Oryzias latipes: one gene and its partners. The protein of the gene in region 1 interacts with the protein of each later gene in a pairwise test. Links are inferred from orthologs where the notes say so. Each region holds a gene or a part of one and is shown on either strand. Other genes may lie near its edges.

The links.
Region 2: the proteins of prkci (region 1) and partitioning defective 6 homolog gamma interact in binary tests that used the Homo sapiens proteins (3 or more experiments, as listed by UniProt). The link is inferred for Oryzias latipes from reciprocal best matches to the Homo sapiens genes PRKCI and PARD6G.
Region 3: the proteins of prkci (region 1) and pard6b interact in binary tests that used the Homo sapiens proteins (3 or more experiments, as listed by UniProt). The link is inferred for Oryzias latipes from reciprocal best matches to the Homo sapiens genes PRKCI and PARD6B.

The regions. Positions count from the first base shown.
Region 1 is NC_019875.2:30,173,092-30,177,972, forward strand, and holds part of prkci (protein kinase C iota type), read right to left. Parts: coding exon 4,808-4,881; intron 3,142-4,807; coding exon 3,044-3,141; intron 2,632-3,043; coding exon 2,545-2,631; intron 2,468-2,544; coding exon 2,332-2,467; intron 2,245-2,331; coding exon 2,157-2,244; intron 1,244-2,156; coding exon 1,118-1,243; intron 868-1,117; coding exon 788-867; intron 57-787; coding exon 1-56.
Region 2 is NC_019869.2:23,950,677-23,955,557, reverse strand, and holds part of partitioning defective 6 homolog gamma, read right to left. Parts: intron 3,739-4,881; coding exon 3,516-3,738; intron 1-3,515. UniProt on the Homo sapiens protein: Adapter protein involved in asymmetrical cell division and cell polarization processes. May play a role in the formation of epithelial tight junctions. The PARD6-PARD3 complex links GTP-bound Rho small GTPases to atypical protein kinase C proteins.
Region 3 is NC_019865.2:4,496,751-4,501,664, forward strand, and holds the end of pard6b (partitioning defective 6 homolog beta), read right to left. Parts: intron 4,109-4,914; coding exon 3,195-4,108; 3' UTR 1,003-3,194; downstream 1-1,002. Other genes in the region: arfgef2 (brefeldin A-inhibited guanine nucleotide-exchange protein 2), read right to left, coding at 376-538. UniProt on the Homo sapiens protein: Adapter protein involved in asymmetrical cell division and cell polarization processes. Probably involved in formation of epithelial tight junctions.

The DNA.
Region 1 (4,881 bases):
CCCGTGATGTCAGCGAAGCCGGTCTGAGGATGGCAGCCCAGGCGCTCCTTGGGATCCTGGGGGGAGTTGAAAGGGGGTGAGGGTGGAGGGTGATGGAGGCGGAGAGGCAGCAGCCAGAAAAGCACAACGGCGTCAAACAGCTCAAAGACCCGATAGTCTGAGTCAGTAGACCACTATTTTTTTTCTTCTTTTTTTGGGAGATGATGTTTAATTTAAATGCAAGAATTTCTCATTAGTGTTTAGAATCAATGAAAGCTACCAGATTCTCCCAAACCTATAAAATGAGGCTTTTCAGACGCGTTTCTCTGGTTTCACCAAAGTGACTGGAGACGCTTAACAAGCAGAACTGTCTTCAAGAGAAAAGTTGAAACGGTCTAAATCCTCCAAATGTTCTTTGTCCAAACTGGAAGATTTCTGTCATTTCTCTGGGAGAAATGTTCTAAAATCAGCTGAAAGTTGGCATAAAACTCTTTACTGGGGGGTGGGGACACCTCTGGGGGCCTTTCACGTTTTTGATAATGTTTTTACCAACATTTTCTTTATTAAAAGTTTAAAAGTAAACAACAATACAATTAGGAATAAGCGTGAAGCCGCTCCTGCGCTCAAACGTGCTCGCCACTTTGTTTTTCTGTTTAGTTCAGGGCCGTGGCGCTGCCTGAACCTTCGGTCGGACGTGAATCCAGGAAGTTAAAACGCTCTGGAGTCTGAAAGAGGAACGATCACCTCAGAGGACAGAAAGAGACGGAGACAGGTGGCGGCGGCGGTTTCAGGCCCAAACCCTCCTTACCTTGTTGAGGAACCCCTTGAGGACGCTGGCGGCTTTGACGGACAGCGAGCGGGGAATTCTGATCTGTTTGTTCAGTATCACTGCAGGGAAAAAGGAGAATTTCAGACGTGAGAGGAGAGCAGCATCTCGCCGCCAAGCTTCGCCGTTCCTGCAGAAACAAACAGCTGACAGTTTGAGAGCAGGTTTAAAGAAGAGGGGAGGACGCATTCACACATTTCCTGGAACAGATGGCGTGCGCCTGGCGCTGAGAGAATCTGCGACAAAGGTGTCGATAAGAAGGTGTTTCCACGCTGCCGCCCCCCACCCCCCCGAACCACAACGCCGTTTTACCCTGGAAGAGATAGTCTTCTGTGTTCTGGTCCGGGTTATCAGAGCTGCCGACAATGTCGAACGGCGAGCGGCCCGCCATCATCTCGAACATCAGCACGCCCAGCGCCCACCAGTCCACGCTGAAGCCTGCAACACACGCCGTCAGAAACGATGAGCGATGGGCTCGGAGCGGACGGACATGTCGACAAAAACGAGTGCAGGAAACACAAATGCAGGTTTATAAACACACAAAAATGGCTTAAAAACACAAAAAAAACATGTAAAAAACAAAAACTGACCAAATAACAAAAACGAGTTAAAAACCCAACAAGAAATAAAGAAAAAATACCTAAAATAAAAAAAATTAAAAAAAGGGGTTAAAAAACGTGAAGACAATAAAAAAACTGTAAATAGAAAAAACTGGTTAAAACAACACAAAAGTGAGTCTTGTGTGCCAGTAAAGCGCCTGTAGACACACTTCTCCTTCAATCACACGTCTGGATAAACTCTTCTCAGGTGAGCATGCTTGAATGAAATCTTCCCGTAAAATGCTTTCAAATCAGAACCATAAAATGACAAAAGTGTTCTGGAAAAAATCCCCAACAGCTCAGAGAAAGTGGAACAGGAACAACCGTCAGGATCCTCCTCTGTTCAACGGCCTCAAAAAACTGTTGGGAAATGAGGCGTGACGGGACTTTGGCTCGGCTCGTCTGCCGTCTTTGGGATTTGAACCTTTGACATCACGACGGGGCTCAGGAACATTTCTACAGGAAGCCGTGAGGCTCAGGTTGTGAGGAGCGTCATGCATCACTTCGGTCACGTTACAGAGCAGCTCGTGTCTGCGGGTGAAACATTTCTGACTGCTTTTATTTTTAGAGGAGCTGGTCGCCATGACACCGCCGTGGTTACCAGGCCGGAGTCTATTTTTACCGCGGCTGAAGCTCTTGTCCGGTTGCTGTGGCGGAGAACCCGCAGACCGTGGCTGTCCGGGTCACATCGCCGTTTTCCAGAAAATAAACCCCCCGGGCGGCGCCCTCCCCCCGCTCTCCGCCTCTCTCACCGTAATCCTCGCCTCGCAGTATCTCGGGGGCGATGTAGTTGGGGGTGCCGCAGAACGTGCTGGTCGTATCGCCGGGCCTCAGGCCCTCCTGCAAAAGCACAAAAGCTTTGACTTCCTGTCAGACTTTTGCACACCGGGGCGGGGGTCATCGTTCACGGTACGCTGCCATCCCCACCTTGCACATGCCGTAGTCGGTGAGCTTGATGTGTCCCTCAGAGTCCAGCAGCACGTTGTCCAGCTTCAGGTCTCTGTAGATGATCCCTCGCTCGTGCAGGTAGTTCAGCGCCAGGCTGATCTCAGCCGAGTAGAACCTGACAGGAGCAGCCAGCGTCAGTAAGGAGCCCGCACCGCGAGGAGGTTCTCACCGACCCGGGGAGGGGGGCCTTACCGGGCGTGCTCCTCCGGAAGCTTCCTCTGCCTCTGCATGTGGAACATGAGATCTCCGCCGTTCACGTACTCGATGACGAAGAAGAGTCTGCGGACAAAGAGGAGGACGTCACCGGTCTGCACAGACACGGCGGCAAATGCCAGGATGTTCCCGACAGGAGAGCTGCAGAAACACGGACACTCTGGACGGATCCGTCAGACCGTCACACTTTGTTCGTTTTTTCTCTGACTTTAAACAAAGCAACAAATTTGGATAATAAAGTTTACATCTTCCTGACTACCAGAGAGAAAATATTATGGTCAGAAATAATGAGAGGTATAAATCTGATGTGATGGATGCTAAACTCCTAAATCTCTCTTCAAAACTGCGAATAGGATTCATAATAAGGATGTAATTGAGTCAGTTTAATCTTCAAAAAACGTATTAAAATCAATTGGTTTGGTAAAAGTCCATCAATCAAAGGGCTCAGAATGATTGGAGGCGTTTCCTTCGTCCTCACCTGCTCTCCGTCTGGAAACAGGAGTGGAGGCCGACCAGGAAGGGGTGGTTGGACGCCTGCTCGAAGACGTGCTTCTCCGTTTGGACCCAGTCGATGTCCTGGAGGATGAAACCAGCCAGACGTCAGTCAAAGATCATTATTGCCGCGGCTGTGGGAGAAGAGCGCCGAGTCGGGAGGATCCAGACCGCCGATGTCTGAGATGAACAGGGATGACGGAGCAGGCCAGAGGAACCCTTCAGCATCGACCCAAACCCGCTCATCCATTGAGCCAAGTGTGTCTAATCAGGGCTAACCGCTGCTCACAAGTGTTCAGAGATCAACTCTGACCACGCCGTGCGTCAGCCGCCCCTTCATCACAGAACAAACGCTGTCAGGTTGGAAAAAACACAGACCTGACCCGCGCCGCAGCAGACAGACAAACCTGACCCGGCCCGCGCCACAGAGAGAACCCAGCCCGACCCGCAGACGGGCCCGACCTACAGAGAGAACCCGACCCGCAGACGGACCTGACCCGCAGACGGACCCGGCCCGCAGACGGACACGACCTGCAGATGGACCCGACCCACAGACGGACCCGCCCACGCCGCAGAGAGAACCCAGCCCAACCCGCAGACGGACCCAACCCAACCCGCAGACGGACCCAACCCACGCCGCAGACGGACCCGACCTACAGAGAGAACCCGGCCCGGCCCGCAGACAGACCCGGCCCGCAGACGGACCCGACCTGCAGATGGACCCGACCCCGCCCACGCCGCAGAGAGAACCCAGCCCAACCCGCAGACGGACCCGACCTACAGAGAGAACCCAGCCCGAACCACAGACGGGCCCGACCTACAGAGAGAACCCGACCCGCAGACGGACCCAACCCGCAGACGGACCCGACCCGGCCCGCGCCTTCACGATTCATTTTAACCAAAAACAAACTTTACTTCTCATCCTGGAGAGCAGACAGACGGACCATCAACACTTTAAAGACGTTAAGAAAACATTTTTACACTTCGATAATTCTAAACATCCTTTGATAAAAGGAGGAAATAAAAAAAAAGTGTCACTGTCAAAATCCAGAACCAGAGTGATTCTGATTCACCAGTTTATAATTTTCAGGTTTTAAAACTAGTTTAAATTATAAACTGTAAAAAGATGAAATTTTAATTACATTAAAAACCAACAGAAAGTGATTTTTTCCTGATTCAAGTACCAGAACAATTAAACTGATTTATGGATCAGATGAATCAATCATTGATCATCTCTCCTGTTCTGTCTTTTTTCTGGATTGTTGCTTCTCAGCCTCAGATGTTCTGGTTTTCCCCAAACGGGGACAAAGAATTTCTTCTAAAGGTGTTTTTAAGGTCTGCAGAACAAAATAAAACATTTATAGAGATCATCTGTGCAAACTAACAAAAAAACCCAAGAAGGAAATAACTTTTGCTATTGTTTGATTCCAAGAAGTCCATTTGAATCAACATTAAATAAATAAATAAAAACTTTATTCAGTTTTGGCAGAACTTTAAACGTCTTCAGTTGAGAAAACGTTCTGGAAAAGAGTAATAATAATAATATGAAAACAAAGCAAAGGCAAAAAAGGGCTAAATTACTACATGCCAATTTTCTCTATAATGGATGAGTTTTTCAGAATAAAAGCTTTGGGTGTCATGTCCGCTCATCAAGATGTTTCAGATCACTTTTGTTTAACTGAGATCTCAGGTTTGTAAAGGAGAGATGAGAGGAGGCGCCGCCACTGCCGCCGCCGCCGCCGCACCGTACCTCGTCGTCATTGACCAGCTCCTTCTTCACGACCTTCATGGCGTAGATGCGCTCCGTCTTCTTCAGCTGCACCA
Region 2 (4,881 bases), on another chromosome or scaffold:
AAGTGCAATGTAATTATCTTTACTGAGAGGTTACTATGTATTCTTAAATTTAAGCTATGAAGTACAAACATGTATTTTCTGGGTGACGGCCGTCAGCCAACAAAAGCAAAAAAAAAAAAAAAAGTGTACCCACCGGGGAGAAACTTATCATTGTATCTCCACAAAGGGATGGCACGTGCTTAAGAGATTTTACCTACAAAGGAAATCTAAGCCTGGAAGGGAGTGTCAGGTAGATAAAAGAGATGAGCACATGTTGAAGTAGCCATTGTTAATGGGGGCATAAGCTGAAAAGGATGCGTACACACACACACACACACAGGAAGCTAAATGGTATTCTGGCGTTACAGTAGAGAATGGGTTTGCTTCTCAGCTCATTAAAATTCAAAGACCAGAGTTTTAGCTCCAATGTTGAGATTCTTAGGACTACCATAACTCTTCAACCATTTACAAGTATTCTCAACTGGAGAAAAGCAGCCTTGTAATGATATGAAGCTCTTTACAATAGCGAGGTACTGATGCAATCAATGCAAATCAGATGATTCTGGTGCGGAGAAAAACAGCTTTACGCCGTTGCGGGTGTGGATTAAATCAACCACAGTGATAGTGCACAACTAAAAAAGAAGTTCCGGTCACATAACCTATCACTGCGCTGGCTTCTTTGAAAGAAACTTTAGCTTCATCATCTGGACTAAAACAAGCGGTAAGAGGTGAACTTTCTGAACTGATGCTTTATTTAAGCCATCGTGACGATCAGCATGTATATCGCTTTCCTTTGCCACTGCAGTCGAGGTGCCGGCTCAGCCATTTCCACACATCGCACCACATATCAAATAGTCCACTTTTTGTGAAAAAGCGATTTAAAATGAAAGAATAACTACAATAGAGCACAAAAAATGGACTGAATATTTATTCCTTTTATAAGTGACCATAATCTGGGAATAGAAGTAAGCAGCCTTTTTTAGATGTGCATGGGAATTATTTACTAATTTTACCCTCATCCCCATTAAATGCTTAACTTTTTGGGAGCCATTTTTTGATTTTTAGTAATCACTAATTTTACAATCTCTCAATTTCAAGGGGAAAAGCATTCTACTAAGCTGATAGCAGTAGTTTTATTTTGAAGTCTTAGTGACATGTGCAGTCACTGTTTTCTCATTTGTGACGAAAGCCTTTCTTCTCCTACTGGGGTGACGATGGGACAAAGAAGTCCCCACTGACGACCCGCACTGGCACCGTCTGTTACAGTCTTCATCACAAACGCACACATTTGCTTATGTTGTGAGCTGCAGGGGTGAAGGGCATGTCACGAGGTCCTCCGGGCTTCACTCATCTCTCTGTTGAACAACTAACAAAATAATCTGCAGACTAACAATACATCAACATCCTATTCCTCAAAACTACACAGCAGTGTAAAGGTTAAACCAGAAAAACACTAAATAGAATTCAAGGGATTCGAGGATATCTTTATTGACATTTCACCAGAGGGATAAAACGAAATTTGTGACTCTGGTCCCGGACCAGCCATTTCCAGAAAGTCGCATTAGCAGGAAACATTTGCTCATGCGTTAGTGAAATAGCTCTGATGTTGAAAAGAACACATTAGTCAGCTATTTAAAACACAATGTCAAGTAAGAATTGATAAAGTGATACAAGTCAAAAGTCTTTAAATAATATAAATCTTAATTTGAATGATACTGACCCGAACCGTCAAGTAATTCAATGGTTTAAAAAAAAAAAAGAAAAAACTAATGTTCTTACAAAACTGAACAGCAATTAGAACAAATCTTATCTAAATTTAGATTGATTTGAAATTATTTCTGCATTGATGGGGGGAGGGGCTTTCAATAGTTCAGTGGTCTCATGAAGGGACCCCAACAAAGTCCAAACTTGACTTTCTTCTTTGACTTTTGGTAGCTCCTTCAAAGCCTTGTTTCCACTGAGCAGTATGGTATGGTCCAGTTTAGAATGGTCCGAGCCATTCAGGAAAGCGTTTTCACTCAAAGCTGGACCGTTCCGGCGCAGGTGGAGCTAACAACAACAACAGTCATCCAGCGGCACATTTTTTCTGCTTGGCTTTTGCCATTTTGTATATACAAAGCATTTAATGTTGTTTGAGAGAAGATTGCGGGCAACAAAAGCGCTTTCTTGGTTCAACAGTAGCAACGTTCCATTTTTCTATGGACCTACAACTACCGGGGGCCAAAAAGTGGTATGGTTTGATCTGGCTTAATTGGTCCATTTTAGAACAGAAATGCTCAAAATACCGTACCGTCCTGCTCAGTGGAAACGAGGTCATAGAGGTCCCCACAGCAAATCACAATTTGCATATCTGATTTGGCTTTGGTTTTATGTCAGATGCCGTTTTTTACACAACCCTCTATATTCACCTGGCTTGGGACCAGCACATGAATGCATTGGATCAGTTACTTTTGCTAAAAACGTTACTTTTTCCCATCCAATTAGAGTTTTGGGGAAATTGTTGAGGTGCTCGGGGTAAACTCCAGTCAATAACCCATGTTGGGCTTCATTTTTGAAGTGATGTCAAAGATTATGGGTCCAGTGTAAGCATGTTTACCTTTAAACTCCTAATTCATAATAGAAAAAGGATTTTATTTGTAGTGGTAGTAAATTACTACTCAAATTTTAATAAGTAAGTTCAGCTTTGACCATTTGGGGTCTAAAGAGTAAATGGGTCTCAATTGGGCCCCTTCTGTATAATTTCCTAATTTCATGATGGAAATCTACTACAAACTTGTTCAATTCACTCAGGATGTCTTTTGTTCTCAAACCCCTGGACGGTAATTAAAACAAAACCCTGGAGTGTACATGTTCATCCCACCACCAAGAATGAATCTGAATGTTGAAGGATTCATTTGTGTGCTTGCTGGATCGTTGGCGAGCAGTCAAGACTCGCTCCATAGCAGGGATCGGTAAAAGAGACAGAGAACGGACTCCGTCTACATATTTAAACAAATACATGCTCGCATGTAGACGCACAGAAGCTCCCAAAGGCAGAGCACTCAGTCAGGAGTCTCCTTTTCATGCAGATCTTTTGTCTCCCAGTAATGTCTGGTATGCCAGGATTCAGGCTTTGCTCAATGACCTGATTTCTATGGGGCTGCCAAGGCACCGATGTCTGTGTGTACATTTGTGTGTGTGTTTATCTGCCTGCAAGCCCTTCCTTTGACCGAGGCACAGGGTTTAGCTGGGTAGACAGACAACAACTCAGACTGGGAGTGATCCAGCGAATAAGAGTGCAGGAAACATGTAAGTAGACACACGAATAAAGTCTTGCCAGAAGACAACAAAAAGCCTCAAGGCAGGAATTACCAGATGAAGAAATACTCTGTGGGGAAAGGTGGTTTAATCACAAAGATTGCTGCAGATGATGCAGCTACAAAGAAGCTGCGGGCACGGTAATTGCAGAGGATTTTGAGACAGTTGTAAAGATAGGCCTAATGAATGTCGATTGCCTTAAAACCGGATTAAACAAGGTGATAGTTAAGAAAGTGTACCTTGTCTCTGTATGAATATCCTGAGGAGTGGATGAGCAGTCGACACCGCTTTGCAAAAGTTGTCGTCGTTGTTTATCGGCAGCAGGTCCCCATGGACATCGGCATAGCCAATCATCATCTCCATATTAGCAATGCGGTGAATGTGCAAAAGGAGCTTGTAGAACTCCTCGAACCTTCCAGGTTTGACCCGGTCCACTGAGAACCGGCGAAACTCTGCTCCATACTAAACAGAGAAAGGGAAAAAAAGGCAGGATAAGGATGGAGGACATCAAAGAGGATACATTACAAGCACGAGAGTGAGAATCGGGGTGAGAGGGTACATGTTCATTGAGCATGTGGAACTCAAATATTATAGAACCGGCAAGTTTCCATCAAAAGACCAAATCTTACAGTTTGCAAAACTACGTTGAGCAAAGCTTAAGCATTTTCTAATAAATCCACAACACAATACCAGGGAATGTCATCCTCAGGGTGAAAAAGGAAGTGTTTCGTTACAAGCACCAGCAGGACCAGTATGACCGTTTTGAAACAAGGAAGCAGTATTACATGTTCACAGGAGTTATATAGTTGATGATTCTCCTTCCACTCAACCAGTACCTGATAAAAGAAAAAGGACTAAAAATCAACTGCAGGATTAAGAATACATTTAAAGTTACTTCAAGGCATAAAATAGTTCTATGGATTCTTTTAAAACCCTATAAATCTTTCAGTTTATATATAGTGTTCCCTCCCTATATTGTGGCTCACCTTTTGCAGTATGGCCGTTTTGCAAAATGAATTTCCGTGCATGCTTCTTTTTTTGTTTTAAAGAGCATACAGTATTCTGCGTCCTGATTGGCTGTTAACTTTGTCAACCTCTTTTGCTTGCCATGTCTGCTGTACAGAATGCGTCGAGTTTGCCTGATCTACATAAATGTTCTATCGCGATCAAAGCTTTGTTTTCATTCTATTTTACTGGACTTATATTTCTATGAAGGTTTGAACCTTGAGAGTTTAAGCAAGAGAAAAGTGTGAAAATGTTCACGTATGTGTATATATATATAAAAAACCCAGGAGCTCTGGGACGGCTTGTTTTGCAGAAAAAAAGAAAAGTTGGTTGATTGCAATACAATAGACAGTAGTCGCTCTACTCTCTTTGAACATTAGATACAGGCCTCCAACAATTGTGTGTGAGCTTTCCTGTCGAGGTCACTGACATACAAATGACTAGAGGTCATGGTGGTCATCAACAGCTTAGGTACAAAACCGCAGCCCTGCCGACTCCAGTCTGAGTCCCAGTGGTTATGTATGGCCTCAAACTGTCGCTTGGTAGAGTAATCATAAAGTCACACAACAGGAAGCTCACATAAAGAGAGCCGAGTTGCGA
Region 3 (4,914 bases), on another chromosome or scaffold:
TGGGTGCAGGGCAGGACCGGGCTGTCTGACCGGGCGGCAGTGCTACGTACAACACTGGGATTGGTCTGTTTAGCTAGCTTAACTAGCTGTCACGCGCTAACAACATCTACGTCCGTTTATCTGCTCACGTCCCCGGACTTAAATGTCATTAAAACGACTTTACGTGCAGACACGGTGGTGATGGAAACGCAGCGATGGAGATCGTCGCCGTTTTTATGACAAAAAAGACAGAAAACACACCGATCAAGGCCAGTTCATGCGCAAAGCTAGCTAACTTACGGTTTCCAACAAACACAACGACTGAAACGCGCGAAAAGACACGGCACGCACGCGGGTTTCCCCAAAGCAGAGTCCCAAACCAAAACACCGACCTACCGAGCGCCACCTGACAGGCTTTCCGCAGCTGGCTGTGCTGGCTCCTCTTCACCTCCTTATCCGCGAGGATTTTCTCCAGCGCCCTGGACAGAAACATGCTCTTGGTTTTGTTGTTTGCCGCCTCAGACTGCGAGTGCTGCTGCGGGGGCCGCGGTTGCTGCATCGCTCGGTCTCTCAGGCCGTCATGTTCCGCCAGGACCCGCGGCTGCAGGTGACGAGGAAAGCTAACGAACGGCAGGCTCGCAGTGTCCAGCAGGGTTCCTGTCTCAGCTCAGCGTCGCCATGCTGGTTAGACGTCACGTCACGTGACATTCAGCTGTCTCGACAAAAACTCACACACTTGGAAATGAAAACTTTAGGCTTCACAGCTCGCCTAAAATAAACCATAGACTAGAATTCAAGTTAATTTATTTACATATTAAACAAATATAATTAATTTTTAACATTTTGAGTAGTAGACTGCACTTCCGGTTTCCATCAGTACTTCGTTTAGCCAGTAGATGGCGCCAAACTCCATGATGAGAATTAATTAAACGATATCTGCAGTTTCCCCCCACATTTCTTTAAAAAACAAACTACTTTGAACATCACAGCTACCCATAAATACAACCGACACTTAACAGCAAATATTGCTACATATTAGTTTATTTTTCCAGCTCCACCATCAGCAGTTACACCTGTTGGTTTGTGTGTGTACATCTTATTTATAGTGATAAAAACATATGCAGCATTGATATGAAAATACTGACATTCATTACAAATCTATATCATAGGATTCAACAGGCAAGCAAAAGTCATTGCTCCATTATTAAAACAAAAATCAGTCTAAAACATTTGTCTATGTTGAGGTTGCTAATCCCCCCCCCCCCCCCCCAATAGAATTCACAGTATCAAAAAATAGCAACAGATCTGATACCTTACAAAAGCCTTGAAATCACCCAGTTAAATGAGCGTAAATGGTTAAAGGAATCTATCGTACCTTGGGAAAAATCATGAATACACAGAAAAAGATTTTGTTGTAAAAAAAATAATAATAAAGCAGACAAAAAATAGTGGAATAAATAAAACTGTTGCTGTGGTTACAATTCCAGTGCCACGTGATGAAGTTAGATATGCAGTAAATAAATTACAGTGATTAGTAAAAGATTTAGATGAACGCTGGCAATGAAAGAAGACCCACCAGCTTTTGCTCCCAAATCCAAACAGGACAGTTCGCTTCAGCACTGAGCTTGTGGCTAAAGAGAGTGTCGTACGGATAATATGGATTCATCTATAGATGATTATTGTTTCCCTACAAACGCAGACATTCCTACCGTTAGCGTGTTTACACAACTCTGAATGTCTTTCAATGGAACTTAGCACTTCAGAGCAAAGGTGTGCTAAAAATAAACAGGTACAAACAAAACAAAGACACCTGCAAAGCAGTTGGCAGCAATGTGCAAAAGGTCTTCTGATAAATGAATCTGCTTCATGATTAAGAACTTAATGAACAGCCAATGACAGCAAAGCACAGGTGAGAGCAAACGGCTCCGCCTCACCTTTAACAAACATGGAAATGTTATTATTTTGTGTGGCTGGATGTGTGTTTGCTTCTCAGGGTGTGTTTTCAGGGACTCACTGCGTCAAATGACCAACTAAAATAAATATTAATGTGGGTGTTTTAATGCAAGTCATTCGCTCAGAATAGAGCTCTAACAGAAGCATGTTGGAGAATAAAACTTTCCATAGGCAAACAGGTATTGAAAACATTCAAGTCCCATGCAAATCGTGTTTTTGACACATTCTTGTGCCATTTTTCTAAGTATGGAGGACAAATATATAAAGAAAATTAAGCTTAACATTGCATTTCCAAGCCACGAGCTCCCTGCTCTGCTTAGCAATGGGGATGGAAAGGGGGGCGGTGTTGCTCTGCACCAAAAATCCTACCCACAACTCTGGGCTGAATTTCTAATGAACTCCTGCCGCTCTGCAGAAACTATGTCCTACAAAACGACACAATTTCTTAACCAATTTTGACTAAAAACTGCATAATTATACTTAAAGGACCAATGGGATCGCTTTGAACATAGATGACAAGATGATCGGAGTGGGACTTTAAATGCAGCATAAAATTAAATTAAGAAACACATTAAAACGTGGTCCAGAAAGAAATGAGGGCAGAAATGCTAAACATCGCGACAGGTTTTGTAGAAAATGTGCAGGAGTCACATTTGCAGACATTTGTCAGTTTCTGAATTTTAAAAATGCAATCTCAGTACCGGCTGAACTAAAGCTTTGTCATTAAAAAAAGCCATCTTAGTGGGTCCGTCCGTTTTACAGAGAGGTACAAAGATTCGTCTAAAAGCGTCGCAGAGCGAGCGTTTCCTAAAAGCAGTAGAACTGAAGATTTGGTTGACTGACATGTCACCGACTTAAGTAGATTTGAATAGAACTATTTATGCTGTAAAGCTACAGGTGGGGGGTGGGGTGGGGGGTTACCAGAGAAAAAAGGAGCTGGCTAACAAAAACAAAACTACTGAGAAAATAACTGCTTCTGGGGGCTAAACTAGACTTTTGTGTTTCTTCTTTCACATTTCTATGGAGCTGGGGGTGCGGAGGGGGTGTCACCTCTTTGGCACACATGCATGATCATTGGCATGTAGAGAAGTGTAGTGTTTTCCTTCACGTTTCTGCATGGAGGTGTCGGTGTGACGCTAGTGTTTCTCTGGAACAGTCGCTGCCTGACGGGGGCAAAGGGGGGTTTTATTTTCTGGTCTGTGATGCCTTACCCCCCCCCCCCTGAGTGTTTCCTTCCCAGGACAGTTCAGTCAGTGCTGAGGCTACAGCGTTATTACGGTGCCCTCCTCCTCCAGGCTCCGCCTGACCCTGTCTGGCGACGGCGTGGCTGAATTGGCGTCGGCGTGATTCAGCGATCCGCTGCTGTTGCTGGCGGGCAGAGTCCCGTTGGTGTGGATGGAGAAGGCGGAGGCGGAAGTGAAGGCGGTGCGGAGGTTGAGGTGTGGTTCGTAGCGAGGCATAGAGGGCATGCTGTATGTGGAGGAGGTGCGTCTGATGGGCTCGGCCTCGCCGCCAGCCTCGATCACCAGGTCTTCTTCGTCTTCGTCGCTTTCCAGCTCCCCAGCGGAGAAGTTCTGGATGATGTGTGAAGGCATGGAGGCCGTGGCGCCGTGCGTGGAGTAGCCGTAGCAGCTGGCGCCGCTGTCCGACGACCGCCCTGAACTACCAGATGCAGCCCCGCCCCCTCCGCTCCGAACGACATTGTTCCTCTGGTTGGCGGGCTTCACTGTAATGATGAGGTTGTGGCTGTTCGCGATCATCATGTCCGTCACCTGATCCAGAGATTTGCCGGCCACCTCGATGCCGTTCACCTCCAGGACCTCATCGTTTACCGCCAGCAGGCCGGTGCTCTCCGCCAGCCCGCCAGGAACCAGGCGGGAGATGAATATGGCCGGGACCTTCTCCAGACCCTGCGGAGTGACCCGCACGCTGGAGCCGTCGCGGATGTAGAAACCCAGCGGCTTCTCCTGGCCGTGCTTGTACAGGCGCACGCGTCTGTGCGTCTCCGGAAGGATGTCCACGTCGATGATGGACGACACCGGGCGGAAGTCTTTCGGGAGGCTGATGATCACCGGGTGCTTCTTCCTGGTGGCGTCCGGCCTCAGAAGAACCGCAGAAAGGACCGTGTTCTTCTTCCTGGTCAGCGGGTCTGTAGCAAACGTGTTTTCAGCTTCTTCTGCAAAACCCAAGAGGAAGAACAGAAGAGAAGAAAGACAAAAGGAGGAAGAGGAAAGAAACAAATGATTAATTTTCCATTAAAAACTTTCAGATCAAAGTATTACCCACGCCAGATTTCTTTTGCATCATCTCGTCTTTAAACCTGAGGCATCGCTCGTAATCATGAACATACTAAAGGTGCTTTTTCTTCAGAAAAACACAAAAACAACAAGCTGCCATCCAGAAATTACCCGACGCCGTCTGTGAATGACCTCCCCGGTCCACCTGAAGATGAATTATCCGTCTATCTCTACTCTGAACCTCTGACGCAAGCCTGAAGAGGACCATCAATCATACATGAAACCACAAGAAGAGCTGCAGTCAAATGGGAATCGATGTTTCTGAGCGATTAAACAAAGTTAAGTCATTATTTACAGATTAAAAATACAACAGAAAAGAGAAAAATCTCCTCAAAGAAGAAACTCTCTCAGATACGGAATAACTGCAGGGAATTCTGATTGTTTTCTGCGTATTTTCTTTATTTCTGTAAAAATACTGTTTGTAAAATTTTAAGTTTGGACTTGAATTTTGAATATTGACATCCATCGTTGTACATCTTTGTATTAATTTTATTTTTTATTTCATCAGTGTAAAAATAAATACATTTAATAATAATAATAATAATAATCAACAACGCTGTAAAAAAATCTGTCCTGTTCACTCAAAAATATGAAAAGCAAACTTTTCATTCTTCTGTAAACTAAAAACGTCTCAGTCGGGAGGTCATAGAAACCACCTTCAGCTGTTTGCGTCAGAGCTTTGTCA